4 linked regions of the Anolis sagrei genome follow. The protein of the gene in region 4 purifies or fractionates together with the protein of the main gene of each other region. This does not show direct contact. Links are inferred from orthologs where the notes say so. Each region holds a gene or a part of one and is shown on either strand. Other genes may lie near its edges. The genes, in order: DDX21, RPS8, H1-10 and NPM1.

Region 1 (7,676 bases), on a different chromosome or scaffold from region 4:
CAATGTACTATTACAAGCTAAGAAAATGTTTAAAAAAAACCCTATCTATCTCAAAATATATATTTTCCAGGATGGCTCTCACATCCAGAGAGCCCCGTCATGGACAGCAACGATGGATCTGGGCCAAACATACCCATCATGGCCATCTTAAAATACTGGTAACATGTCTGTGGGATGACCCAGGATGATGGGAATTGTAGTCTGCCCACTTCCAGGGAGCCCTGTGAACCCACCAAGAATGGATCTGGATCCATCTTGGTAGACAGACCCAACTTTAAATACTGACTGGGTTGGGTTATGTGAGGGAGAAGGATGGGAGCAATCCACCCACAACCGAAGACCCATGTGTATCTTACACCCAGAGAGCCATACGTATTTTGAATGGAACCATTCATAACATACAAAAATCAAACAATGATTACACTAGGAGAAATAAAGGGAAAGCAGATAGAGGTAAATAACAGTATGTAAAGAAAAATTGTATTAGAGCTATAAGTGCAGTATACTTTAGACAGGGAAAGTTTTAAACTGAAGTAGGTGCTTTATTATTATTGCATCTGTCATTATTTTTATGTTCTCACTAGCCGTCCCCTGCCATGCGTTGCTGTGGCCCATTCTGTGTATATGTGTTGTGTGTGTATATATATGTGTATCACCTTTTTGTCCATGTCCCAGCATTACTTCTAATTTTAACCTTACATTTGGGCCTTCCCACTGTTTTTAACTGTGTGTTGTCTTATTGATAATGTTGTATATTTTATTATGTTTTTTATTGCTTGTATTGTTTTTTTATTGCTTGTATTGTTGTTTTATTGCTTGTATTGTTGTATTTGGGCTCGACCTCATGTAAGCCGCACCGAGTCCCTTGGGCAGATGGTAGGGGGTACAAATAAAGTGTTATTATTATTATTATTATTATTATTAACTACTTTTAAAGTCAGGACCGCATAATAATAAGAATAAGAAGAATAATAATAAGAAGTATAATAATAATAATAAACGTTATTTAATACCCCTCCACCATCTCCCCAATGGGGACTCGGGGCGGTTTACATGAGGCCAAGCCCAACAGCATATTACAATAATGTAAAACCAATAACAACACAATAAAATGCAACCTGTGCTGGACTGGGTTACACTCCCCCTGAAGTCACAGGTCCGCAGCTTGGGAGTTCTCCTGGATTCATCATTTACGCTTGAGGCTCAGGCGTCGGCGGTGGCCGGGAGGGCTTTTGCACAGCTAAGACTTGTGCGCCAGCTGCGACCGTACTTCGCAAAGGTTGATTTGGCCGGGGTGGTCCATGCCTTGGTCACCTCTTGATTGGATTACTGTAATGTGCTCTACGTGGGGCTGCCTTTGAAAACGGCTCGGAAATTCCAACTGGTCCAACGGGCGGCGGTCAGGATGTTAACTGGCGCTCCTTACAGAGAGAGGTCAACCCTCCTGTTTAAGGAGCTCCATTGGCTGCCGTTTACCTACCGAGCCCAATTCAAGGGGCAGGTGCTTACCTACAAAGCCCTAAACGGTTTGGGACCTGCCTACCTGCGTGACCGCATCTCCGTATATGAACCCACATTCTCCCTTCATTCATCCGGAGAGGGCCTGCTCACGATTCCACCTGCATCGCAGGTGCATTTGGTGGGGACGAGGGACAGGGCCTTCTCTGTGGTTGCCTCCCGACTTTGGAACACCCTCCCCAAAGACATTAGACTAGCACCCACATTGGCAGTCTTTAGGAAGAACTTGAAGACCTGGCTATTCTGATGTGCCTTTCCGGAATAGGATAACCCTCAGCACTATGTCCCAGAAGCACTGTATTAGAGTTTAAGACTCTCTGCACATTGCACTTGCCCAGAATTCCAACATACCACCTGCCACACCCAGCCCTTTTTAACCTGTACCCATCACTGGCCTGGCCCTGGTTTTTATTGTGTAATAGTGTAATGTTTTGTTATTGCTTATGTTTTTAATTTGCTTTGTATCGTATTGTTATTGTCTGTTGTTGTTGTGCTGAGGCCTTGGCCTTTGTAAGCTGCATTGAGTCCTTCGGGAGATGCTAACGGGGTACAAATAAAGTTTAATAATAATAATAATACAACATATGAGTACAAAGACGATAAAGCAAAATCATAACACGGTAAAATAAAATAACATAACAATGAGCAAAATAAAAACTAAGATACTAAAAATACTAAAATCAGGATGAGACAGGGATGTTGGGGGGAAACTCGTAAAGGAACGGGGTTATAAATATAGACCTTCATACGGGTGAGGAAATATACTCTGGGGACAATTAAACAAGAAACAACACTTTCAAAACGGGAACAGTTTTGTTGTTGTTTTAAAGGAAATGTCTGCGTCGTGGGACGGGGAGGGGAAAGCCCGCCACGTGCGCAACAGCGAAGGCGGAACAGAAAGGCCGTAGAACACAAACGCGGGTGGCGAGGCCTAACTCTAAGGGACTTTGGAGGGGGCGGGAAGGCCCGTGGGAAAGAGAGGCCTCCTCTTGGTTGACTTCTCTGCGCCACGAACAGGCCGCGCTTCCGGCTCGGAGGCCGGCTTCTCCTTCCCGTCAGCCACGAGGCCCGGTCGGCCTTACGTAAGCGCCTGGGCCTTGTCCTTCCCTCTTTCCGTCCTTCCCCCTCGCCGCGTACCTTGCGCTTCTTCCCTCCGCTCTCCAGGGCGTCCTCGGGCTCCAGGGCGGCCTCGAGCTCCATCTCGTTGTCGTCGTTGTCGTCGGGGCGGGGGGCTGCGGGCATGGCCTGGCAATCTCCGCCGCGGAGCTGGTGGCAGAAGCGGCTGGTCGGGGCCGAGGCCGGCGTGAAAGGAAGGAGCAGCTCCGCCCCGCCCAAGAGGAGGGAGGGGGAGGGGGAGGAGGGGGGAGGCGGCGCGCGGCTGAGGGGGGCGGCGCAAAATGGCGCCCTCCAGCAGGCCGGGGCCAGGCGGAGGGCCTTCCGGGACTGCGCCAGGCAGCGGCACCACCAGCCCATGCCCCACCGGCGCCTCAGCCCTGACTAGGCCGCGGCCGGGAAGAGGAGCGCCGGGTGAGGCCTGCCTTCCCGCAGTTCAGGGGCCCGCCTTGAGGGGGCGCCAGGGAAAGAGTGTCTCTCGTCAGACCGGCGTTTGAAAGAGGACGCCCACGCGCCTCTTCTGCCTCGCGCAGAACTCTGGGAAATGTAGTGTGGGGCGGGGTCTCTACTATTCCCAGCTAAAGAGGAATTGCCTCAACATCAAGCAAAAAGTGGGTGCTAGAAACAATATCATACGAAAGCTGACTGGCACAACCTGGGGATCACAACCAGACACAGTGAAGACATCCGCCCTTGCGCTGTGCTACTCTGCTGCTGAGTATGCATGCCCAGTGTGGAACACATCTCACCAAGGTGATCTAATCAAGGTGATCAGCTGAAACATTCACATTAGCCCCAGCAGACAAAAGTCCTTTGTCTCACCCTGGTTATTCCACAGATATATAAACCCATTTTTCCTACTTCCAACACACCTCACTACCTCTGAGGATGCTTGCCTTTTCTCTGAGGAGAAAAATTGCCTCCAGAACATGCCCATATAGCCGGAAAAACCTACAACAACCCACATCTCACCACACTAAAACAGTGGATGTGGCTCTTAATGAGACATGCCGCATTATCACAGGGTGTCTGCGCCCTACACCACTGGAGAAATTACACTGCTTAGGCAGTATCGCACCACCTGACATCCGCCAGGAAGTGGCAGCCAATAGTGAAAGGACCAAGGCAGTGACATCTCCAGCTCATCCCCTGTTTGGGTATCAGCTAGCACGTCAACGACTTAAATCCAGACAGAGACACTCGCTGGAACACCTCAGCAAGCAAGAGTCCAAAAGTGGCAGGCTCAAACCCAGAACCTCAACCAATGGCTGATACCAAATGAGAAACTCCCCCCTGGGCACACAGAGGACTGGGCGACTTGGAAGGCGCTGAACAGACTGCGCTCTGGCACCACGAGATGCAGAGCCAACCTTCAGAAATGTGGAATCCACAACATGCGAGTGTGGAGAGGAGCAAACCACAGACCACCTGCTGCAATGCAACCTGAGCCCTGCCACATGCACAATGGAGGATCTTTTTGCAGCAACACCAAAAGCACTCCAAGTGGCCAGATACTGGTCAAGGGACATTTAATCAACTATCAAACACACATTTTGTATTTTCTCTGTTTGTTTGCTTTGTTCTGTTAGAAATGTAATATAACTGACTGGCTGCCCTGACACGAGAAATAAATAAGCTAAAGAGGAGCAGGATTCAAAACGAGCTTCACAGATTGGAGAGATGATTGGCCAAAACTGACAAAATCGGCGGTGTCCGGGAGGGCTTTTGCACAATTGAGACTTGTGCGCCAACTGCAACCGTACCTCTCAAAGGCTGATCTGGCCGGGGTGGTCCATGCCTTGGTCAGCTCTAGACTGGACTACTGTAATGCACTCTACGTGGGGCTGCCCTTGAAAATGGCTCGGAAATTTCAATTGGTGCAATGGGCAGCGGCCAGGATGTTAACAGTTATGAGATGCATTGTGTTGTCTATTGTTGTGTCAATATTGTATATTATGCTTTTATGGTTTTAAATTGTATATCGTTGATTGATTTTTATCCTTGTTGTAAACCGCGTTGAGTCGCCTGTTGGGCTGAGAAACTGCGGTATACAAGTAAATAAATAATAAATTAACTGGTGCTCCTTACAGAGAGAGGTCAACCCTCCTGTTCAAGGAGCTCCTTTGGCTGCCGTTTATTTTCCGAGCCCAATTTAAGGTGCAGGTGCTGACCTACAAAGCCCTAAATGGTTTGGGACCAGCCTACCTGCGTGACCGCATCTCCGTCTATGAACCCACGCGCTCACTTCGTTCATCCGGAGAGGCCCTGCTTGCAATTCCGCCTGGGTCTCAGACACGTCTGGTGGGGACGCGAGACAGGGCCTTTTCTGTGGTGGCCCCCCAACTCTGGAACACCCTCCCCAAAGATCTTAGACAGGCTCCTACGTTGGCAGTCTTTAGGAAGAATTTGAAGACCTGGCTGTTCCGATGTGCCTTTCCAGAATAGGAATCCTCCAACAAGTCCCAAGAGCACTTTAGTAGAAATTAAGATTGTTGGCACACTGAACTTGCCCTATAATCCTACATATCACCTGCCACATCAGCACTTTTAATCTGTACCCATTACTCTGGCCCAAATACCAAATTTGCAAAATCTGTGTGGGTTTTTTTTCTTTCTTTTTTTCTTTTTCTTTTTAATCTCTGTGTTTGTTTTGCTCTGTTAGAATTGTAATACAATGGTTGCTGATGACACGATAAATAAATACTCTGGCCCGGCCCAGTTTTATTGTGTATTGGTTTATTGCTTGTTGTTTTAATATTGCTTTAACTGTTTTTGATTTGATTTAGGTTGCGTATTGTTATGTTGTGTTTTGAGGCCTTGGCCTTTGTAAGCCGCATCGAGTCCTTCGGGAGATGCTAGCGGGGTACAAATAAAGATAATAATAATAATAATAATAATAATAATATGAAGTTCAACAGGAACAAATGCAAGGAAAAAAATGTTGCAAGCAAAGACTTTCAGTATATCTTTCAGATTTCAATATTGACGAATTGACACCAAATTTGGACAGCGTACACCTAACATCCCAATGTATGTCCTTCACTCAAAAAAATGATTTTGTCATTTGGGAGTTGTAGTTGCTGAGATTTATAATACACCTACAATCAAAGAGCACTCTGAACTCCACCAACAATGGTATTGAACCAAACTTGGCACACAGTTCTCCCATGACCAACAGAAAATACTGGAAGGATTTGGTGGCCAGTGTCCTTTGGTTTTGGAGTTGTAGTTCACCTACATCCAGAGATCACTGTGGACACAAACAATGATGGATCTGGACCAAACTATACGAATACTCAATAAGCACAAATGTGAACACTGGTGGAGTATGGGGAAAATAGAATCTTGACATTTCGGAGTTGTAGTTGCTGGGATTTATAGTTCACCTACAATCACAGATTTTTCTGAATCCCACCAATGATAGAATTGGGCCAGACCTCCCACACAGAACCCCCATGTGGGCCACAGCAATGCGTGGCAGGGGACGGCTAGTCTATATAAATAAAAATGTAATGTTCATTTGTGGTATTCACAGAACTCAAAAACCGCTGGGCAAATTGACACCAAATTTGGACACAAGACAGCACACAAAGCAATCTATGTCCTTCACTCAATAAAACAAAAAAAATTAACCTTAATCCCCCAAAGAAGCCAAAAATTCATAACAGCGCATGCGCGAATGTCCCCTCCCCCCCACGCGAAGGAAAATCTGTTGCAAGCTGCCAATCCCGACAAGCTCCTTCTTCCTGCTGCAGCTGCAAGGCGCCTTTCATGTGACCCTGCCTGCGTGCCCAACCGGCAAACAGGCAGGAAGGCCATGGCAGAAAAAAGAAGGGGCGGTGCTGGCCTGCCTCGAAAGCACCTCCCTCCTGCCTGCACCGCGCCTGGCTGCGAGGCTCCCTTCCTGCCAGCACCAGGCAAGTGGTCAAGAAGGGAAGGAAGGGAAGAGGGAGAGAAGAAAGGAGAGAAAGAAAGAGGGAGGGAAAGAAAGCAAAGGAAGGAAGGAACGAAAGAGGGAGAGAAGATAGAAAGGAGAGAGAGGAGAAGGAAAATAAAAGGGGGAGCAAGGGACAAAATTGACAAAAGCAATTTTTTTTGAGTGAAGGACATATATTGGGTTGTTAGGTGTCTTGTGTCCAAATTTGATGTCAATTCGTCCAGTGGGTGTTGAGTTCTGTGAATACCACAAACGAACATTACATTTTTATTTATATAAGATTTGTCGTTTATTCATTCCTCTTCCTTTACAGCATCCATTAAAAAAGCTGTTTAGGCCTCCAACTCCCAGAAGGTTTAGCCAGTTTGTTTAATGGTCAGGAATTCTGGGAGTTGGGGGGCCAAACTGCTGGAGGGCCACAGTTTGAGGATGCCTGCAATAAGGTTTGAAAAGCAGTAGGAAGATCCCATTACATTACACTGTAAAGGAAGTCACTTTGTCTCAGAAGTCTCTCATTCATTTACATACTGTAAATCAAAACCAACTTGATGGCTAATAGCAGGGTGCTTGACATTTTCAGTATGAGCAAAGTGAACAAAGTACACAGGATTAAGATGTTCTCCTTTATATCCTCATATCAGTCAATTTTAAATAAGGCAGCACTGATTTAGGCAGACCCCTATGTCCCATGGGAAAAATGGATGGGATAAGGGACAGGGGCCCCACAGGGCACAAAACCGAATACCTAACTGACAGAAGGAAGTGATTTTAATTTTTTTAGTGTATGGATAGGAGGTAATAAGATCAATGAGCAGCTGGGAAAAATGACTCCAGATTTGGGGTGTGTCTGCAGAACCCCCATAAGATCACTGCGTTAGACGAATACACTAGAGCAGTGGTTCTCAACCTGGGTCCCCAGATGTTTTTGGCCTTCAACTCCCAGAAATCCTAACAGCTGGTAAACTGGCTGGGATTTCTGGGAGTTGTAGGCTAAAAACATCTGGGGACCCCAGGTTGAGAACCACTGCACTAGAGCCTAAAGCAAACGAAACATCTTGGATTTCTGTGTGGCCACTAAAGGCAAATATATTACAATTTAATTCCATTG
Region 2 (7,598 bases), on a different chromosome or scaffold from region 4:
CCATCCTCCTTCACTATCATTCCAAGGCCAGTGCCCCCCCCCCCCCCCCCACCACCAAAAGCACCTTCTAGTTAGATAGAAAGGGATGGTTGACTTGCATAAGAAACTTTGACAAAAGAAGCTTCTTTGTCAGAGGCTTTATTAACTGAGGTATACCTGTAACTGAAGTATGATGTGCTTGTTCTTAACTGTATAAAGAAGAGAAATAAATACAAACTTATTTGTTCTTCCTCCAGCTCAGAAGAAATGGCTTTAGAAAGAATGGATTTCTTCAAGGCCGTTGCAGCAGTCAACTGTTCTCCCACTGGAGAAGCACTTTTAAGACAGATTTTGAAGCATCAGATACAGAGACAAGTAGCAGTGAAACTTCAGACGACGATGCCTGAAAAGGGGCACCAAAAACCCACAGTATAAAACCAACCCAGCAAACTCAGTTTGTAGTTTAGCACATTAATGTTTGGGGTTCAAATGAAGCAGAGTTTATTCTGTCTCAAGTCTGTTCAGTTTCTTTTTTATTGTTGAAAACTTCATGCACAAGGGAAAGAATTATATCCCAAAGAAGAAAGCTATTGGCTTATTACTTTTTGGTTTTGCCCTTCTATGCTTCATAGAAAACAGTCCGTGCAGATGGGTGGACCACTGGTCTTCTGGGACAAGGCCTCAGTTCAGTCTCATCAGAAGCAGGATGTAAGGGACTGGGTTGGGCAGCCACAAGCTTCTTATACTGCCGTCCACATGGCAAAATGCTGTGCGGCAATAATGTGCTAAAACAATCATTGTCAATGACAAAATGGCTATGGAAGTTCTAATTGTGTTAAATTAATGCTAATAACATGGAACTTTTTATTTTTTTGGCGGCTCGGGGAGCTTCATCACTTAACCAGGCGTGTTTGGTTTTTCTTTTTTTGGGTACAGCTGTAAAATATTTGGATATAGGAATCGTTTGTGTTCTTCTTGCAACCTTGATATTCAGGGTGGATTGTAAAATATAAATTTTTGTGGGATTTCAAAGATTAAGATTATTTTGATAACATTATTTACAGATTTAAAAAAGTGACTATCACATTGAGTCTGTATGAGGGGAAAAAACTACTGCATCAGAAGATAACTAACTTGGAATAAATATTTTGCATCAGTTTGCCAATTATGTGTCTGTCATTTTTGAAGATATTCTAATAAGGTAACTTTGAATTTGTTAGTATTTTGCTTTGGGTGTTCACAGAGTAGTTCTTCCTTAAAGGCTCATCATTAGTAATTCCGTATATGCTTTTTAATGTAGAAAGTAGTACTGGAATAAATTTTTATCATAATTTTAAAAAACCCAGTTCTATATGCAGATAAATTTTACATAGGGAAGAAAATAATGAACAAGAGCAGCCAACGAGTGACAGAGAAGATAATATTGATTATAAGTGGAAGATCATGAACTCATACTTAAGCTTTTATTTAGGGCACCATAAGGAATTTATATCTAATAGCTTTTACTTATGTCATAGGAATGAAAGAATCTAGTCAGCGTTCTGCATTTGCTGATTCAATTTTTGTGGATTTGCTTTCTCTTAAGAGCTTCTAGGTCATCAATCTTAAGTGCACCTTATAATCAGTGGTGCTTTGAAATCACTGGTTTTGGGTTCTTTTTTAACTTTGTCTTACGTCTGATAGAGGAAGAGGAGGAGGGGCCCTAGCCCACACCACTTTGCCCTCTGGCTCAGCCAGATAGCTTTACTGTTTTCTGCTTCCCATGCTTTCTAATGGGCCCACAGAACTAGGAAGATAGAGTAATACAGACAAGATGTCTTCTGGGTTGAAACAAAGGTACTGTGCATGCAGAGAACATTCTAAAAAATAGCGATTTTTCCCAAAAATTGAAGCTTCAAAAAGAGGGGACTATACCTTACATTTTATGGCACCTTCAATTTGGTGAAATACAGTATATGGCAAAAATAAGGGGTTTGGCACCTAAAAGTCTGCAGAGTTAACCCCTTACCAGTGGTATCACTAATGGTGTATGGGGTGGGTGCATGCAAACTGCACAGGATGGCACCAAAATGAATGTGTAGTGTTTCAGTAGATTTTCTTAAAAACTCAAATACCCTTGTAGTTACTATAACCACAAAAACATTTTTGTGAGCTTAGCTCAGCTACAGTGATTCTTCAAATCACATGGTTTTGTCTCAGTGGCTAAAGCACACCATTTTTTTGCTGGTTTTGTATAGCCACTGATTGTCAGACTTCCATGTATTTTAGTTACAATACTCTGGCCTGGTATGGGAAGGGATCCATGGGGATGACATCACTGTTCCAACACCACTGTTCCTTATGTCTGATAGGTCTTTAGAGTCAGTATCTGTTACATGACAACAGTATAGGAGTATACTTTTGGTTATGGATATTAAATGGAACCCTAACATTGAACTAATGGCTGTACAGTGCTGTGTTACTTCTTCCTACTGAAGCTAGCAAGAGTGAAAGACATTTAAGCATGAAAATATTTGTCACTTGAAAAGAATCCAGGTCATATATAATCCTCACTCAGCCCTTTCTAGGAACTGTAATAGTACCCTACCAGGACCAGGCCTTTGCCCTGAGGGTGTGCTTAAAGGATTCAAGACACTCCTGGTGTGAAAGCAACCTGATAATCTGTTCAATAAAGTCATCTCTGGCATGTGGGCAGACAAGGTATAATAAAGGGCATTCCAGAACTAGCTCCTGAGTCTACTGCAGCAAGAAACAAATTTACTATGTCTAAAACTGTTTTTTGTTTGTTTGTTATATATATGAACATGTTGTGGATGTCTACTGAAAACAATACCTAAATAGATACATTAGACATTGCTCTTGGAACACATACACAACATGAAATATAGGTAGCATAAATTAGTATTTATATGTAGCGCTCAAATATACAAGGTACACAAAGTTCAAACTGGTGACCTTTGGCAGTTTTTTTTTTTTTTACTATTCTTGAGAATTCCATGAAGACCCAGGTAAAACAAAATATTGTCTAAACTGTATTTCAGCAATTTCATACTTTAAAAGAGAATGGGAACCACTAGTCACTTTTTTGCTGATTTACAGGCAGGCTGGCATCAGCATGAAGTGAGGAGGAAAATAGGAACAAAAAGAAGGAAGATCATGAGAATATAAGAAAAGATGAGGCAAAGAAGGAAAGAATGAGGGAGTGTGGGAAAGGGGGTAGGCCAGGCAATAATAATAAATGCTCCTCAAGAGAGCAGGAGCAGAGATCACTGCTTCTGGTGCTCTGCCTCCTTCCAAATGGATAGCCTGGCTGTTTTATTCAGTGAACTCGTGGCAATAAAGAGACCTCATTATAGATGTTTTGTTTATTCATCTACCCTAAAGATCATGGAGTAAAGCTTAATGATCAGATCGCTATGAATCAGGACCTCACTCCCCCCCCCCCCCCAAATAAATCAGTGCTTGCTATAAAAATAGTTCCTAGGCTGGAACATAGTAGCAGCATCTAGCAGATAAGCAATATTATGCCCTCTAGTTTGACCAGATTTGAAGAATATTGCTCTAAGTGCCCATGCAGTTTCCTGCAATTTGGAAAAGTTAATAGATATTATTAAAGTATTGTGGTTTTGCAAAAATTCCAATCAGTAAAATACACGTGTGCTTGGATGACAAGCCGCAAGCGACTCTTGCTTAGTGCATAATGCCTACTAATATCACCAAGTCCTGCCCTCATCACCAGGGAGTCAGGTTTTGACCAGAAATATCATGGTTTGAAATGTTCCTAATCCAGCCTGTTTGAAAGTCTCCACCACACTCCGGGGCAGAGAGTTCCACCAGAACATTATTCCTCATGTTCAGGTGGAATATCCTTTCCTGTAGTTTGAAGCCTAATCTCCAGGGCAGCAGAAAACAAGCTTGCTCCCTCCTCCCTATGACTTCCCCTCACATGTTTATACATCTCTCCTCTCAGCCTTCTCTTCTGCAGGCTAAACATGCCCCGCTCTTTAAGCTGCTCCTCATAGGGCTGCCTTGGTTAGACCACACCTGGAATACTGTGTCCAATTCTGGGCACCACGATTGAAGGGAGATGTTGACAAGCTGGAATGTGTCCAGAGGAGGGCGACTAAAATGATCAAGGGTCTGGAGAACAAGCCCTATGAGGATCGGCTTAAAAGAGCTGGACATGTTTAGCCTGAAGAAGGGAAGGCTGAGAGGAGACATGATAGCCATATATAAATATGTGAGAGGAAGTCACAGCGAGGAGGGAGCAAACTTGTTTTCTGCTGCCCTGGAGACTAGGACTTCAAACTACAAGAAAGGAGATTCCATTTGAACATGAGGAAGAACTTCCTGACTGTGAGAGCTGTTCAGCGGGGGGACTCTCTGCCCCGGAGTGTGGTGAAGGCTCCTTCTTTGGAGGCTTTTAAACAGAGACTGGATGGTCATCTGTCGGGGGTGCTTTAAAGGCGATTTTCCTGCTTCTTGGCAGGGGGGGGGGTGGACTGGATGGCCCGCGAGGTCTCTTCCAACTCTATGATTAGTAATAATAACAAAAGCCCTGACAATTCTCTGGACGATGCAAAAAGTTCCTCTGTGAATTAAACCCCCAAAATAGCTCCTGCCTGTACTTTCTTGTCCGTTTGTGATGACGTTCATAGGTTCAAGCCAACGCCGCGCTTCGAAATCCCGTGCGGGAGGGGGGAAGAAGTATCGCGAGGCTTCCTGGGCCACATCCCGCCCCGTGAGGCCTTGCGCCTTCCTCTTTGCAGTGGGCGCCTCCGGAGAAGGATGGGTGAGTGGCTGCCGGCGCGGCGAGAGGGGGAATCCGCCGCCATCCGGCCCCGCGTCCGCCTCAACGGAGATGTAATGTGGTTAATGGGGGAAAGGACGGTCTTAACAACACGGATGGGGCGTTATCGTGCGGTGTTTTCGGTTGCGGTGGAGAAAAAAAGGCCTCTAGGCCGAGGATAGGCGGCCAGTGTATCAACAGGGCATAGGCCCAAGCCGCAATGGCGGCTTGGGCCTATGCCCTGTTGATATACTGGCCGCCTATCCTCGGCCCAGAGGAGGCCTTTTCCTATCCCACAGGCCGTGTGTTCCTTCGCCTGGAGTTCCCGTGATGAAGCTTCCTAAAGCCGACTGTCTTCTGGGGAGACATTTTACCTTGGAGAGCTGAGTAACTCAGGCCTTAAGGAATCCTTTCCTGGTGGGAAACAATACTGCACACTTTGGGTGCATCATCTACACTGTGGAACGAATGCAGTTTGATGCTACTTTTAACTCCCATGGCTCAGTGCTGTGGTATCACGGGATTTGTAGTTTTACAAGGTCTTTAGCTTTCTCTGCTGTGCCCTCCAAGCTACAACTCTGGGAATCCTATAGCACCGAGCCATGCCAGCTAAAGTGGGGGCAAACTGCATGCGTTCTATAGTGTAGATGCACCCTTTAATGTATTTTTGATGTCACATTTTTTTTTTTTGGTCTGCCCACACAGGTATCTCCAGGGACAACTGGCACAAGCGCCGCAAAACTGGGGGGAAGCGCAAACCCTATCATAAGAAGAGGAAGTATGAGTTGGGGCGACCCCCTGCCAATACCAAAGTAAGCCACTCTTTATTGTTGTACCTCTCCGTTTATGTTTTATCCTGAATGGGAATGTTTCAGCTTTTAATATATGTATTTTTTTCCACTCCCATTTTTATTTGGAATTAGAAAAGTCCACAGTCACCACGTGACCTATAGAGTTTGCATATTTCCTTTGTCAAACTTAAGTTTCATTTTATTTAAAATTTCCCCCCTCTACTTTTCATTTTTCCCCCTTTTTTAAGGCCAATACTGTTCTCTGCTTAATTATTCTTTTATTATTTTTGTTAGTTCTTTGTATGTCTCCCCACAACCTTGCCTTCAGGAAAACAAAACGAAACACATGGTTTCGCTGCCCCATTACAGTTTGTTTTCAATCACCTTGTCATGAAGACACAGCAAAAAAGGGGGTACACAGGTGGAGTCACTATGCTTTGCTTGCATACCCATCTCATAGACACACGCATTTTCAGCCTCAAAAACCTTCCCTTGTTTTTTTTCTAATTACACTCCCTCCCCTTTCTCGTGCCTTCCTCCCAAGTTGCACTTGCTTTGAAACATTAGGGGAAAATACGCAACATTGAACAAAGACAAAAACACTCTTTGCTTTTCTGTTTTGGTTTTCTTTCTGCTCCTAGTCCTCATTGTATTTTTTCCCCTCAGATTTGAAACTGTGACTTCTGGAGTGAATGTGTCGGTGTGTGCATGTGTGTATATGACATGGGTATGCGAGCTTTTAATATATGTATTTTAATGGGTTTTTTAAAACTTTATTTTGCTTTATGTGTTTTAACTATATTGTACCCTGTATTGAGCTGTGAGGAGAGGCAGGTAACATTAAATCTATTATTCTAGTAATTACTAAATAAATAAATGCTATTTGTATTCCACTGTATCTCCCCAAAAGAACTCCGACCTGATTCCAGCAAAACAACAACAAAAAAATACAAAGGGCAGACATTCAATGCCATAATACATTCATCAAAACAAATACAAATAACGAACCAACCAGTTCCCAACATAAACCAACATCTGAGACAAACTTGTAACTCAAAATTAAATAATAACATAACCTATAACATCACATCTCACCTAAAAACATTAAAGACATTTAACATAAATGTATAGAAAATCACAATTAAACATTCAATTAAAATAGTTATTAAATTATTATGCAGTCGAAAAGCCAACAAAGTTGACTGAACCAGAACCAACAGAGCCAGAGTATAATACGATTTGTTGTCAGAGGTATATTAACTATATGTAAACTTCTAATCCTCCTGGATTTTTACTCCTTACCAGAATTGGACCTCCGAAATGCCACTTTCTCATGATGCAGCCTGAAAGATTCCCTGAAAGCGATTTGTTAGGTTGAGTTAATTATTCTCAGAAAAAAAATATTTTATCTAACAAAGGTCTAACGAGTACAATGTGTAACACAATTTTTGTTCCTGGCTTATAAACGTCATTTCCTAATTGGTTCTATCATTTTAAAAAGGAGAACGTTTACTAAACTGCAAAAACTCTGCTATAGCTTTCAAGTGAATATCTCATTGAGTTTCAATCAATGCCTTCAACAACACAATTCAGTATAGTTTGTGGTTACAAAAAACCCCCAAAGTATCTGGAGTATAACAACTACTTTCAAAGTAGGTACTGCACAATGAAACACGAATATCACTTTCTCGACCAGCAACAGAAATATTTTATTTGAAAACTGCACAGACGCTTAAGAGTTTGCAGCATTACCTGCAGAGTGTGTGTTCATGAGTGTCATAGAGTTTTCTTAGGCAAGAAATTCTCTTCCTCTGAAATAATAGCCTACAGCACCTGGTGTGCCTTAGCAGTCTCTCATCCAGGTTCTAATCAGACCTCACTTTGCTTAACTTCCTAGACTGGATCTGGTGCCTTTGGGGGTATTTAGGCCACAACAAATGTGAGAAAGACTAATATGAGACAGCACTTGAAATAGTTTCCTTAAAATCTAGCTTGCTCCCCGTAAAGAGTCAGCATTGATTCCCATCTTGTACTCTCCT
Region 3 (6,687 bases), on a different chromosome or scaffold from region 4:
TTATTATTGGAAAGAATGGTACCTTCCCCTTTTCTTAAAGTGGGTTCTCCCATCGCCCCCTTTACTGGCGCTGGACTCAAGGGAGGAACCACTTTAAGAAGAGGGGGAAGCATCTCTACATAAAATCATTGAGTTGGAAGAGACCTTATGGGCCATCCAGTCCAACCCCCTGCCAGGAAGCAGGAAAATTGCATTTAAAGCACCCCCGACAGATGGCCATCCAGCCTCTGTTTAAGCCTCCACCACACTCCAGGGCAGAAAGTTCCACTGCTGAACGGCTATCAGGAAGTTCTTCCTAATGTTCAGATTGAATCTCCTTTCTTGTCGTTTGAAGCCTTTATTCTGCGTCCTAGTCTCCAGGGCAGCAGAAAACAAGCTTGCTCCCTCCTCCCTAGGACTTCCTCACATATATTTAATTCTCCAACCCTGCAGCTGAAGCTTCCTCTTCATGACGCTACACCCCTGACCTCCCCCCTTCATAAACAGCGAGCAAGCAGCGAATGAAAAATGCTTTTTAAAATACCATTTATTGACAAAAAACCCCATCCCTCCCCTTCCCACAAAAGAAAACACAAATACCCTCCTTTAAAAAAAGGCAATCGAAGACATGAAGGCAGTACAGTACAAGATGGAGGCAAAGGGGGGCGTCTCCCTCTCCGACTAGGTCCTTTCAATTACAAAAAAGGGGGGCGGGGGTGGTGGGAGGCCAGGTTGCCATGGCGACACGAGGCGCCCCCTCAGCTGCTGGAAGCTCTCTCAAAGGCACCCCCCCCCAATTCAAGAGGAAATGGAAGCCAATAAACGAATTGAGGCTCAGATACGCGACAGTCACTGAATAAATCAAGAAAAAAAGCGAAATAGGACCCCCACCCTCCCCTCTCCACCGACACACAAAAATATGGGTCTTCCAGAACAGTATAACACAGCCATGGGGAAACTTGGGCCTTGGAGGTGTTTTGGACTTCAACTCCCAGCATTCTTCACAGCCTCAGGCCCCTTCCTTTCAAATGTTTGAAGCCATCGTTCCATTGCGTCCTAGTCTTCCGGGCAGCAGAAAACAAGCTTGCCCCCTCCTCCCTAGAAAAGGAAGGGGCCTGAGGCTGTGAGGAATGCTGGGAGTTGAAGTCCAAAACACCTCCAAGGCCCCCATCCTGGTATAACACGAGCAAGGATAAAAAAGCAACCTTGACGACAAAACATATCCAAAAAAACATGGAGGGAAAAGTGTCCTTTGCCTGCCCCCCAAAAGTAAACACAACCGAAGCGAGGGTGAAAAAAAAGGTGGCTCTGTGCTTCGAGCGCAGTCTGAGTCCTAGGAAAGGAGGGCGGCCTTTCCCTTCTTCCTTCTCCTCCTTCTCCCTCACTTCCTGCTCTTGAGGGGCTTGGGCTTGGCGGCCTTCTTGGCCTTCTTGGCGGCGGGCGAGGAGGCGGAGGCGGAGGAAGAGGGCGAAGGGGCGCCGCTCTTCTTGCCCGCCGCCGCCCCCGCCTTCTTGGCCTTGGCTTTCTCTTTCTTGGCGGCGGCTGGGGACGGGGAGGCGCCCTTCTTGTGCGACGACTTCTTCTCCAGCGCCTTGGGCTTCTTCTCGGCTTTCTTCGGGGGCGTCGCGACCACCGCGGCGGCCTTTTTGTGGGGCTTAACGTGGGGCGCGATGGCGGGCCCTCCTCCTTCTCCCGCTCCGCCTTCGAGCTTCTTTCGGTTCAGCTTGAAGGAGCCATTGGCGCCGGTGCCTTTGACCTGGAGGAGGGTGTCGTTCTGCACCAAGGCCTTGATGGAGTACTTGAGGTAAGTGCGGCCGTTCTGCTGGTCGAACCAAGGCACCTTCTTGGCCTCGTTGTAGATCTTGGCCAGCGAGGAGCCATTGCGCTCGCCTAGCTTCCGAATGGACTCCACCACCAGCTGGCTGTACTTCCCGGGCTGGTTCTTCTTCTTGCTGTTCTTCTTCTTCTTCGAGGGAGACAAGGCCGAGGCCTTCTTGGCGGCGGCGCCGGCGCCTTTCTTCTCGGGAGCCAAGGGCGCCTCCTCGGCCTCCGTCAACGGCAAATCGGCTTCTTCCAGCTCCACAGACATGGCCGAAAACGATAACATCCAGCCGCCGAAGACCTTCCCGCTCCGCTCGCAAACCGCGTTCTGAGGCCGCGCGCGCTGCCGCAGCTCTTTATATACTCCACTAGCGGACCGTGTTGAGAACAACAACAAGAGCCCAAGAGGCCCGCTCCGAGTTGTGCTTTTCCAAGGCCCTTCGCGGAGCTCTCCCGCTCGCCTCAAGGCATGCAGAGACACCGCAGTAGCGCGGCCCGCTTCCCCAGGCGGAGCCCCAGGCGGCTGCGGGGGTGTGGCGGCGCTGCTAGGCCGGGAAAGGCCCCTCTCGGGCCATTTTGGGGGCGCTCCCTATGCTGGGCGCAGGCGGAGGAGGGGGGCGCCCTGTTCGTGGGCCTCTGGGTCGCCGCCCAAAGGATTCCCGGGCCCGTGAACGCGCTTGCGGGGCAGAGAAGAGGGCCCTCTGTCCAATCGTCCGGCTCGGATCCGCCGGGGCCGCTTTGGAGGTGAGGGGGAGGCCGGTTAATTTGTGGGAACTAACACACGGGACGCCCTCGCGCGGCCGGTCGGCAGCAATGGATTCAAATGACAGCGGGGAAAACAAGATCCCACCTCCACTTTAGGAAGAAGCGCTTGGCATTTAAAGAGGCTCAACCCCACCCTCCACTGTTGACCCTCTTGAGTATTCCTTGCTGAAGAAAACCCTGTGAAATTGACAGGGTTGCCATAAACTACGGGGTATTTAAAAGAAAGAATAACAGGAAGTGGGCCACCATGAGCACTCCCTTGGAAGACCCCAGTCCCCCTTCTCCCAATCCCGCCTTTTAAACTGAAATCATAGCCTGAAAGGTGGCCATGTAGTCCAACACCCTGCTAGGCTAGAAAACTAAAAATGACTGTCCGGCCTCTTTTTTTAGAGTAGGCATAGGCTAATTTGGGCCCTTCCTTCTTGTTTTTTAGACTTCAACTCCCCCTCCCCCCTAAATAGCCACCCTGTGAAATGGACAGCGTTACCATAAACTACTGGGTATTTAAAAGAAAGAATAAAAGGTGGCCATTTAGTCCAACACCCTGCTAGGCTAGGATACACAACTACAAAATGACTGTCCAACCTCTTTTTTTAGAGTAGGCATGGGCCAACCTGGGCCCTTCTTGTGTTTTGGACTTCAACACCCCCCCCCCCCCCCAAAAGCCACCTTTCAATCTATGATTCCAGTTTAAAAAGCGGGATTGGGAGAAGGGGGACTGGGGTCTCCCAAGGGGGGGGGGGGGGAGGTGTTCATGATGGCACACTTCCTGTTATTCTTTATTTGAAATACACAGTAGTTTATGACAACCCTGTCCATTTCACAGGATTTTCTTCAGCAAGGAATACTCAATAGGCTCAACAGTCGAGCTCAACCCCACCCCATTCTACAGATATATACATATATACATATATACACACACACATACATACATACACACACCTCACTTACTTTGTTTCTAACAAATCTCTCAACTTCTGTGGATGTCTGCCATAGATGCAGGTGAAACGTCAGGAGAGAATGCTTCTTGAACATGGCCATATATCCAATGCTATTTCTCCGGTGCAGGAAATCACAGTAGCCTAGTGATTCTGGCCATTAAAGTCTTCGACAATACAGTGGAAGTACAGCCTTGGAGGATGGAGGTTTGGATGGCTCTCTGTGGGGGGTGCTTTCCCCTCTAAGGCAGGCATGGGTCAACTTGGGCACTCCCTCCTTTAACTCCCACCATTCCTCACAGCCTCAGGCCCTTTCCTTTCCCCCCTCAGCCGCTTAAGCGGAATGGTGGGAGTTAAAGTCCAAAACACCGGGAGGGAGGGCCCAAGTTGGCCCATGCCTACTCCAAAAAAAGAGGTTAGACAGTCATTTTTAGTTGTGTATCCTAGCCTAGCAGGGTGTTGGACTAAATGGCCACCTTTCAATCTATGGTTCGTTTAAAAAGCGGGATTGGGAGAAGGGGGACTGGGGTCTCCCAAGGGCGTGCTCATGGTGGCCCACTTCCTGTTCTTCTTTCTTTCTATGTGTGGTCTTTTAAATACCCCGTAGTTTATGGCAACCCTGTCCATTTCACAGGGCAGGCCCGTAGCCAGGATTTCGTTTCGTTTTTTTTCAGGGGGGGTTTCGGGGGGGGGCTGAGTTTCGGGTGGGGGGGGTGAGTCTGAGTGAAAGAGGGTCTAGCCTAGCAAACCTTTTGTATCATTACCCCAATACCCCCATGCATATGGGATATATTGAGTATGGTGATCAGATCATGATATGAATAAACATAACAGTTTAAATAATGCACCAGTAAGGCCTTTTCGCGAACCACCATGAAAATTTCGGGGGGGGGGGGGGGGGCTGAAGCCCCCCGAGGCCGCCCCCCCCCCCCCCCGGCTACATGCCTGTCACAGGGTTTTCTTCCGCAAGCAATACTCAAGAGGTGTTTTGCCAGTTCCTTTCCCTGGGGTATAGCTTGCTGCACCTGGTACTCATTAGTGGACTCCCATCCAAATACCAACCAGGGCAGGCCTTGCTTAGTTTCCAAGACCGGACCAGAAGGTGATTTCAATGAGGTGGGTTTTGTGGCGAGCGTGTCTCGACTCTCCCTCGCCCACAGACCCAGTGTTCTCTTGGTTCCCAAAAGGCGATGGGCGGGGTAGGGGTGGCTGTGTTTCCAGTGCAGGGCCGCCCACATTTCTCTGGACTGGCTTCCCATCCACGTCTCTTTGGAGGTGAGAGGCCATGGCTACCCGGGCTGCTTTTCCTTGTCGCCTCTTACTGCCCTTTCGGGGCCTCATAGTCTCCTCCCCGCATCTTTCTGAGGGGTTCAGTGACAACGCCGTGCTTCTGCCCCTTTAAATGGCGGGTGGGGAAGACCACAGGAGGCGGAGAACAGGAGGTGGGGGGGGGGGGGGGAAGAGAGCGCCTCCAGGAAGAAAACGGCGGGGGCAAGGCTTTGAGAGGTGGCGGGGGGGGGGGGAGAGGGGGGGGGAGGGTAGCGTTGGTTCTCGGGGGAGGGGGGAAGGAGAATTGCTTTCTGTAAAAGGAAGACCTTGAAGGCTCCCAAGAGCGGAGGAATCCGCCCCTTCCTCCTCCTCCATCACCAATGCTATTTCTCCGGTGCAGGAAAAGTTGCCTCTCTCTCTCTCCTCCTCGTCTTCCTCTCCTTCCCCGCTTCCTCTCCCTCCTCTCCATTTGGCTTCTGCAAAAAGGCAGCTCGGGCGGGGGTCTCTCCCGGCGCCATGTCCGCCCTCCCATTCCCCTCCCCAAATCTGAGGCGTCCTCCCCCCTCCTCCTTGGTTTCCCCACCCTTTCCTGCCCACCCTTCCCGGGTCGTGACTTTTGGGGAACAGGAACCTGCTTTCTGCCCCTGGACCATCATCTCACTCAGCTTCTTAGGTTCTCAAAGGGACAAGAAGGGCTGCTCCTGACCACTTCGACCTGACTGGTATGGAGGGCCACCAGGGAGTCCAGTACTGCTTTGAGGGGCTTTACAGACTCTAGATCAGTGGTTCCCAACCCTTTTTTTTGGACCAGGGACCACTCTCTCACATTAGTACCAAAAGGGTTAGGAATCAGTTTTAATCAACTTTAGATTTGGTTATTCAGGGTACTGATTCAGAAAACTGCATTGGATAGACCACATCAGCTCTGGTTTCTGATGTAGAACACATGCCATCCAGTAGTTGCCATCTGCTTACCCACAGAAAACAGTATTTAATAATCTAGAGCTGATGTGTAGAAGTAATCGTTCGTGGGTAGTCAGCCTCTCCCCTCCCGACATCCCTGTTGCCTCGGCACTATAAGAGGGTTTGCGAGACCAGTTGCTCTCGTTGCCGTGTGGTTTCAAGGCAATGGTGTAGTAATTATGAGGCTGTGGACCATATTTTCATTCTTGTGGACCACTGGTGCTCCATGGACCGCAGGTTGGGTACCACTGCTCCAGACAAACAGTTCAACGCATCTGGAACGTTAGAGTTCCTACCCTGGTCTTTGATACTCTTGTTTAAATCTCCACTGAAAAAAGGCAAGGGGTATTACACAGTTGGCCTTTGACGTCAACATGAAATTAATGGGAGAGGTTATCTCCAGTTTTGAAGCTGGGCATCATCAGCATGACAGGCAGCTGTTAAGGATCATACAGTATCTCTACCCCAGCTGAAACAACTCAATGTCTGGGCCAAATTCAAAGTGCTGGCTGTGACCTTTATAATCCTACTTTGCTTAGGTCCACTGAGGTCTCCCTATAGGCAGTCCCAGCCTCATCTTAGGCAGATCTAGTGAGCACATAAGAGGGAGAGCCTTCTCAGCAGCTGCTCCTAAGTTATGAAAGTCCTTTACCCTGGAAGTCTAGTCCCCTCCCTGCTGCCTTTGTACCAGCAGGTAAAGACCTTTTTATTTAAATAAGCTTTCAGCCTTTTGTGACAGATAAGGCTTTTAATGAGGAAACTACTGTATTGTCGAAGGCTTTCATGGCCGGAATCACTCAGTTCTTGTGGGTTTTTTCGGGCTATATGGCCATGTTCTAGAGGCATTTCTCCTGACGTTCTATGGCAACATGCGGACAATTTCAACAGAAAGGAAGAAACCATGAAAATGAACAAAATCTGGCTACCAGTATTAAAAAAATTCTAAAATTGC
Region 4 (7,470 bases):
CATGTATGAACAACCAGAGTTGCTCTGGACAAAGGAGACTCAACCTCTATACACAGTATATAGGCCACTGATGTGGCCTATATACAAAGCCTCAAGGTAAATTTATACAAATCAGTTTTAATAATTTTGAGCATGAGACCAAGTTTGGGTACACTGACCCACCAGAAAGTGAAGGAGTCACTCTCAGCCATGAGGACAATTTTGGGAGTATTTGGGGAATTCTGATAATGGAGGCTCAAAATACCTGTACTTTTTATGGGACCAGGGATTCAAAGCACTGCTCAGAGGCTGGATGTATACTGCTATAGAATGCAGTCTGAATTTGCATCACATGGTCAGTGTAGACTCACATATTGCAGCTATACTGGCCATATAATGAAGATTAAAACGGCATTATACGGCAGTATATATCCAGCCTCAGAAGACAAAGAGGCACATCTTGTACAGCACTAACCCATAAATGGCTGCTGTGATTTTATATACTTTTAAGGCTTTAACCTGTTTTTTAATATTAATGTTGCTTAATAAGTGTGTATTTTGTATTTAATATGTGTGTATTTTGTATTTTAAGTTGTATTTCAATGCTTTAGTTGCTTTTAGTTGTGCACCGCTCCGAGTCTCCGTATGGAGAGAAAAAACAAGATATAAACATAATAATAATAATAATAATAATAATGAAAGTCGCTGCTGAATATGCATGCCCATCCTCTGTTCAGATATCAGCCAGCATCTTAAATAAAGAAACAGCTTCCTAATAACTACAGAGATACTCGCTGGAACCTCAGCAAGCGAGCGTCCAAAAGTGGCAGGCTAAAACCTGGAACCTCAATCAGTGGCTGGGAACAGAAGAGAAACTCAGAAAGTTGGGTGACTTGGAAGACACTAAACAGAATGCTCTCTGACACCACGATATGCCGAGCCAACCTTAACAAATTGGGCTACAAAGTGGAGTCCATGGCATGCATGTGTGGAGAAGAGCAAGCCACAGACCACTCACTACAACGCAATCTGAGCCCTGTCACATGTACAATAGAGGACCTACTTACAGCGATACAAGAGACATTCCAAGTGGCCAACTTCTGGTCAAAGGAATTTTGGGATAAGTCCCAGTTTTTAACTTTGTGGGGTTTTTTATATATTATTACATTCTCAAGTCACTTCTGACAAACTAAATAATGAACAATCCTGAAAACAAAGATGTGGACATAAAAGAGATAGCAATGATATTACTCAATTCCATTTTAATGTTTGTAGAGTTTAAAATGCATGGAAAAACTAAGCCACTTTGGAGTCATCTTCTGGAGAGAGAAAGTGGGGTATAAAATAAACATAGTAATAGTAATAATACTACCCCTCTATTCTGCTTTGGTTAGACCACATCTGGAATATTGTGTCCAATTCTGGGCACCACAATTCAAGAGAGATATTGACAAGCTGGAATGTGTCCAGAGGAGGGCGACTAAAATGATCAAGGGTCTGGAGAACAAGCCCTATGAGGAGCGGCTTAGGGAACTGGGCATGTTTAGCCTGAAGAAGAGAAGGCTGAGAGGAGATATGATAGCCATGTATAAATATGTGAGAGGAAGCCACAGGGAGGAGGGAGCAAGCTTGTTTTCTGCTTCCTTGGAGACTAGGACGCGGAACAATGGCTTCAAACTACAAGAGAGGAGATTCCATCTGAACATTAGGAAGAACTTCCTGACTGTGAGAGCCATTCAGCAGTGGAACTCTCTGCCCCGGAGTGTGGTGGAGGCTCCTTCTTTGGAAGCTTTTAAGCAGAGGCTGGATGGCCATTTGTCAGGGGTGATTTGAATGCAATATTCCTGCTTCTTGGCAGGGGGTTGGACTGGATGGCCCATGAGGTCTCTTCCAACTCTTTGATTCTATGATTCTATTCAAAGTAGATAATCTGGGATTAGATTGTGGGATATAGGGTGGAGTGGAAGTGGCCTAAGGCCTAGCAGGAGATTCCATCTGAACATGAGGAAGAACTTCTTGACTGTGAGAGCCGTTCAGCAGTGGAACTCTCTGCCCCGGAGTGTGGTGGAGGGTCCCTCTTTGGATGCTTTTAAACAGAGGCCGGATGGCCATCTTTTGGGGGTGCTTTGAATGCAATATTCCTGCTTCTTGGCAGAGGGTTGGACTGGATGGCCCATGAGGTCTCTTCCAACTCTATGATTCTATCCATGATTCTTGCAGGAATTATTATTATTATTATTATAAGCATAATAATAGTAATAATCCTATTCAAAGTAGATAATCTGGAATTAGATAGTGGGATATAGAGTGGTGTGGAAGTGGCCTGAGGCCTTGCATGATTCTTGCAGGAGGCTGGGCCCCTTCCACACAGCTGAATAAAATCCCACATGTTCTGCTTTGAACTGGAATATATGGCAGTATGGATAACCCAGTTCAAGGCAGATATTCTGGGATATAGGGGGTCCTGTGGCTTTTTCTGAGATGGAGCAATAATGGAGTTGGAAGGGAGCCCCATCTTGCTTTGAAATCCTAACCTAGGAGAGGCAGCGAGCTCGCCTTCTCGATAATAATCATGCCCCAAGGCGCACGGATCCTATTGCAGAGGGAGAATCAAGTAAAGAAGAGCTTGATTCGGGCTAGATTCGGGGCCGAGAGGCTTGGGGCCTTCCTTCTCGCTCCACAGGCCACATGGAAGACGGCTAGGCCCAAGCCTCATGAGGTGGCGGCAGATTCCCTTTCCCGTCCAGCCTGAGGACGAAGGGAGGACAAAGGAGGCCCGCAAGACCCCGAGGTTAAGGGAGGCCCAAGCCACGTGGGAAGGCCTCATGGCGAGCCAGGGAAGGCAGCGTGAGGGGGGGCGCGGGATGGTTACCGAAGAGGAAGGTCTGTGGCCGAAGGGAGCCCATGCTGTCCATGTCGGTGTCTTCCATCTCCTCAACAGCGTCGTCTCTCTCTCTCTCCTCAGCCGAAGGGCGCTTGCTGGGTCTAACGGACGGAATTAGCGCACCCGCAGAAAAGGGCCCGCCTCTTTTCCCTTCCCCCAATATATAGCCCTCGTAGGTCTCGCGAGAAGTGATGCTCTGGCCCATCCGCTGGCTGGGTGCGCAGGCGCGAGCGTGCTCGGAAGGGGCGCACGCGGTCGCCAGGCAAGCGGGGGCCAAAAAGGGAGCGAAGGAGCCCTCTGCTCCGCGCATGCGCGTCCCAACTTCCACCTTGTGCGTCTCTTGAGAGAGCGAGAAGACGCGCAGCAGCCCACCGAGCAAGATGGCGGCGCCTTGTATCGCTCCATTCCTCCTCTAGGGGCCCTTTCACGCAGCAATATAAAGTCCCACATTGAACTGGCTCATACGGCAGTGTGGACTCGGCTAACCCAGTTCAAAGCAGATATTGTGGATGATCTGCCTTGATGTTCTGGGTTAGAGGGCTGTGTGGAAGGGCCCTAATAGCTTTCTTAGTTGATGTTGTTTTCTGGCAGCTGACTAAGAGGCCCTTCCACACAGTAATCTAGCCCACAATGTCAAGGCATGTCATCCACAACATCTGATTTGAACTGGGTTATCTGAGGGCCCTTCCACACAGCCATATAACCCACAATATCAAGGCAGGTGTAACAAAATGTATAATTAAAATGTAGGTTTTAGGTATGTTTATTATTGTCAGCTGATTGGTGGCCTCAGGCCTAGGCATTGCCATAGCAACATAGCTTCCAGGCAGAAAAGAAAGGGGCGGAGCCAACTGCCAATGGAGAAAAGAATGTTGGTTTGAAAAGGGTCAGTTGGTGAGTTAGCTGGAGTCTGAGTTAGTTATGCTGATGACAACGTCTGTGCACATTCAGAAGATGACCTACAAGCCACTCTAAACACCTTCGCAGAAGCTTACAAGAAGCTCAGCCTGTCATTAAACATTGAGAAAACTAAAGTGCTCTGCCAGCAGTCACCAGCCAATCCCTCTCCAATGCCAGAAATACAACTTAATGGTGTAACATTAGAAAATGTTGACCATTTCGGCTACCTTGGCAGCTATCTCTCCACAAAATTCGGCATTGACATCAAAATACAACACTGCCTGAGCTCTGCGAGTGCAGCTTTTTTCCGAATGAAGCAGAGAGTGTTTGAGGACTGGGACATACGTAGGGATACCAAAGTGCTTGTTTATAAAGCTATTGTCCTCCCAACCCTGTTATGTGCCTGCAAGACGTGGACAGTCTACAGATGTCACATGCAACTCCTGGAACCATTCCATCAGTGCTGCCTCCGAAAATTCCTGCAAATCTCTTGGGAAGACAAGCGGACAAATGTCAACGTGCTGGAAGAAGTAAAGACCACCAGCATTGAAGCGATGGTCCTCTGCCATCAACTCCACTGGACCGGCCACATTGTCTGGATGCCCGACCTCCGTCTCCCAAAGCAATTGCTCTATTCCGAACTCAAGAATGGAAAACGGAATGTTGGTGGACAGGAAAAGAGATTCAAAGATGGGCTCAAAGCCAATTTAAAAACTCTGGCATAGACACTGAGAACTGGGAAGCCCTGGCCCTTGAGCACTCCAGGTGGAGGTCAGCCATTACCAGCAGTGCTGTAGAATTTGAAGAGGCACGAATGGAAGGTGAAAGAGAGAAACGTGCCAAGAGGAAGGCGCATCAAGCCAACCCCGACCGGGACCGCCTTCCACCTGGAAACCAATGCCCTCACTGCGAAAGAAGATGCAGATCAAGAATAGGGCTCCACAGTCACCTACAGACCCACTGCCAGGACACTACACTTGGAGGACCATCATCCTTGGACTACGAGGGATCGCCTAAGTAAGTAAGCAGCTGGAGGCAGCTGGAAAATTAGCTAGGGGATACCTAGGGTAGTTGACTGATACCAGGAGGCTAATGACAGTAGAGAGGTTTTAAAGGACCGAGTGGTCAGGATCTCTATGTCAGGTTCAAGGCAGTTAGAAATCAGTTTTCTTGTGTTAATATAAAAAGTCCTTTTGGGAAAAAGAAAAGGCTGGAATGTATCATCTTCATAAAGGAATATTCACATTTTTGTAACTAACAAGCATTTATACTCTTGCAAACCAGCACGCCTTTGTCACAACAATGCAAATAAACTTAACAGTTACTGTTTCAATTTAAGCAAAGTCTGTCAACCTCTCACCTCCAACTTAAAGGGACACAAATGGTGGGATAACAAAGTAAAGGTCCACCCTGCTGAAGTGGTTGCTCGTTTCAATTGGTGACAGCGGTGGGATGATAAAATAAAAGACCCCCCTGCCTGAAGAGTGCCCTACTTTGTTTCAATTGGTGGCAGCGGTGGGATGATGGAAGAAATGATCCACCCTACCTGAAGATTGCCCTGCTTTCCATTTCAATTGGTGGCAGCGGTGAGATGATAAAATAAAAGCCCCCCCCCCCCCCCCGCCTGAAGATTGTTTTGTCCCTTTGCTTTGAAGTGGGCTATCTGAGGGCCCTTCTGTACAGCTGGATAAAATCCCACACATGCTTTGAAGTGGGTTATATGGCAGTGTGGACTCAGATAACCCAGTTCAAATCAGGTATTGTGGGATTTTCCACTTTGATATTCTGAGTTATATGGCTGTGTGGAAGGGCGCCGAGTCCACACTGCCATATAACCCAATTCACAGCAGATGTGGGATTTTACTTAACTGCGTGGAAGGGGCCTTGTGGTATTAATCACACTTCAGAATTAATGCTGTTTGACACAATATGAACTGCCATGACTCAGTGCTGTGGAATCATGGAAGTTGCAGTTTTACAAGGTCTTTAGACCTCTCTGACAAAGAGCACTTCTACACAGCCATATAACCCAGAATATCATTCACAATATCTGCTTTGAGCTGGATTATCTGAGTCCTCACTGCCATATAATAATCCAGTTCAGTGTGGATTTCATACAGCTGTGTGGAAGGGGCCAAGAAGGGCTATTGCCTTTCCAAATTCCAACTCCCATAAGTCCATAGCAGCAAGTCTCAAACTGCATTAATTCAACAGTGTAGATGCACCCCAAGACCCCTAGGGGAGACCTGGTAAGCACTAATTTAGGGCCCTTCCACACAATATAAAGCCAGAATACCAAGTCAGAGAATCCCACAATACCTGCTTTGAACTGGGTTATCTGAGTCCACACTTCCACATATTCCAGTTCAAAGCAGATAATGTGGGATTTTATTCAGATGTGTGGAAGGGGCCTTCAGTAGTCATTTCTTTACTTTAGAAGCCCATTTGGTGCTTGAGAAACATTTCTCCCAGATAATGTGAGGGCTCTGTTTTAAAAAAATGGATTGGATATTGAGACTTGACACGTTAACCCTCAGGGACTAAATGTAAACTAAAGTTTCTCAACCTTCCTAATGCCACAACCCCTTAATATATTTCCTCATGTTGTGGTGACCCCAAACCATTAAATTATTTTCGTTGCTACTTCATAACCGCAATCTTGCTACTGTTATGAATCATAATGTAAATATCTAATATATATTTATTATTTACTTAAAACTTTTATATCCTAATCTTCTCTACCTCCATAGAGGGACTCATGCAGGATGTATTTTCATTTACAGGAGCAAATTTGATGCAAGTATCCAATACACGCAAATTTGAATACTGGTAGGGTTGGGGGAGGCACTGATTTTGTCATTTGGGAGTTGTGATTGATGGGCTTGATAGTTCACCTACAATCAAAGAGCATTCTGAACTCCACCAACGATGGAACTGAACCACACTTGGCACACAGAACTCCCATGACCAACAGAAAATACTAGAAGGATTTGGTGAGTATTGATCTTGAGTTTGGGAGTTGTAGTTCACCTACATCCAGAGAGCACTGTGGACTCAAGCAATGATAGATCTGGACCAAACTTGGCACAAATATGCCAGTATGCCCAAATGTGAATCAAAGAGAATTCTGAACCCCATCAATGATAGAATTAGACCAAAATTCCCGCACAGAACCCCCATATCTTGAAGGAATCTCCTGGCAAGAGCCTCCCTTACAGGCAATGCAATCCTGTCATGCAGGATTTTATTCAGCTGTGTGGAAGGGGCCTTTGTTTCTAGTTATAGTAATAATCATCTATATATAATCCAAGTATGTTTGTACCACAAAGGCTGTTGCTAGTTGAAGTGGCCCTCTGTGATATCACTGGGAAACGAGGGAGGGAGGAAAGAGCCACAAAGAGAGCCATGTTGCCACGGAAACATTGTGAGGTAGGCCCATGCAGAGCTGCAGAAATGGAGAAAGTAGGCAAGCAGCAGTCCAAATAACACCTGGGCAACACCAGTTGTTATTTATGCATTAGTTTTTATCTCCTGAAGAAGGCCACATTACATGTATCCCATGTTGCTGAGGCTTGGCTTTTTATTTGAGGCACTTTTTAAAAAGAGTAACTCATTACCCCAACCAGAATCCTTTCTTCCAATATCTTCAGCTGCTTCTTCAGAGGTAAATCTTCTCAATAAATGGACATGAGTCTTGGTTATTGTGA

Evidence for each region.
Region 1: the proteins of NPM1 (region 4) and DDX21 purify together in Homo sapiens (affinity purification with mass spectrometry; 3 studies listed by BioGRID and IntAct, counting the BioPlex papers as one, with this or other methods). This does not show direct contact. The link is inferred for Anolis sagrei from reciprocal best matches to the Homo sapiens genes NPM1 and DDX21.
Region 2: the proteins of NPM1 (region 4) and RPS8 purify together in Homo sapiens (affinity purification with mass spectrometry; 3 studies listed by BioGRID and IntAct, with this or other methods). This does not show direct contact. The link is inferred for Anolis sagrei from reciprocal best matches to the Homo sapiens genes NPM1 and RPS8.
Region 3: the proteins of NPM1 (region 4) and H1-10 purify together in Homo sapiens (affinity purification with mass spectrometry; 3 studies listed by BioGRID and IntAct, with this or other methods). This does not show direct contact. The link is inferred for Anolis sagrei from reciprocal best matches to the Homo sapiens genes NPM1 and H1-10.

What each region holds. Positions count from the first base shown.
Region 1 is NC_090023.1:170,859,278-170,866,953, reverse strand, and holds the start of DDX21 (nucleolar RNA helicase 2), read right to left. Parts: upstream 3,007-7,676; 5' UTR 2,992-3,006; coding exon 2,656-2,991; intron 1-2,655.
Region 2 is NC_090024.1:179,414,599-179,422,196, forward strand, and holds the start of RPS8 (small ribosomal subunit protein eS8), read left to right. Parts: upstream 1-4,595; 5' UTR 4,596-4,767; coding exon 4,768-4,771; intron 4,772-5,473; coding exon 5,474-5,580; intron 5,581-7,598. Other genes in the region: GPBP1L1 (vasculin-like protein 1), read left to right, coding at 237-386. UniProt on the Homo sapiens protein: Component of the small ribosomal subunit. The ribosome is a large ribonucleoprotein complex responsible for the synthesis of proteins in the cell. Part of the small subunit (SSU) processome, first precursor of the small eukaryotic ribosomal subunit.
Region 3 is NC_090022.1:56,400,409-56,407,095, reverse strand, and holds H1-10 (histone H1.10), read right to left. Parts: upstream 2,217-6,687; 5' UTR 2,087-2,216; coding exon 1,361-2,086; 3' UTR 509-1,360; downstream 1-508.
Region 4 is NC_090021.1:142,281,752-142,289,221, forward strand, and holds the start of NPM1 (nucleophosmin), read right to left. Parts: upstream 3,013-7,470; 5' UTR 2,910-3,012; coding exon 2,852-2,909; intron 1-2,851. UniProt on the Homo sapiens protein: Involved in diverse cellular processes such as ribosome biogenesis, centrosome duplication, protein chaperoning, histone assembly, cell proliferation, and regulation of tumor suppressors p53/TP53 and ARF.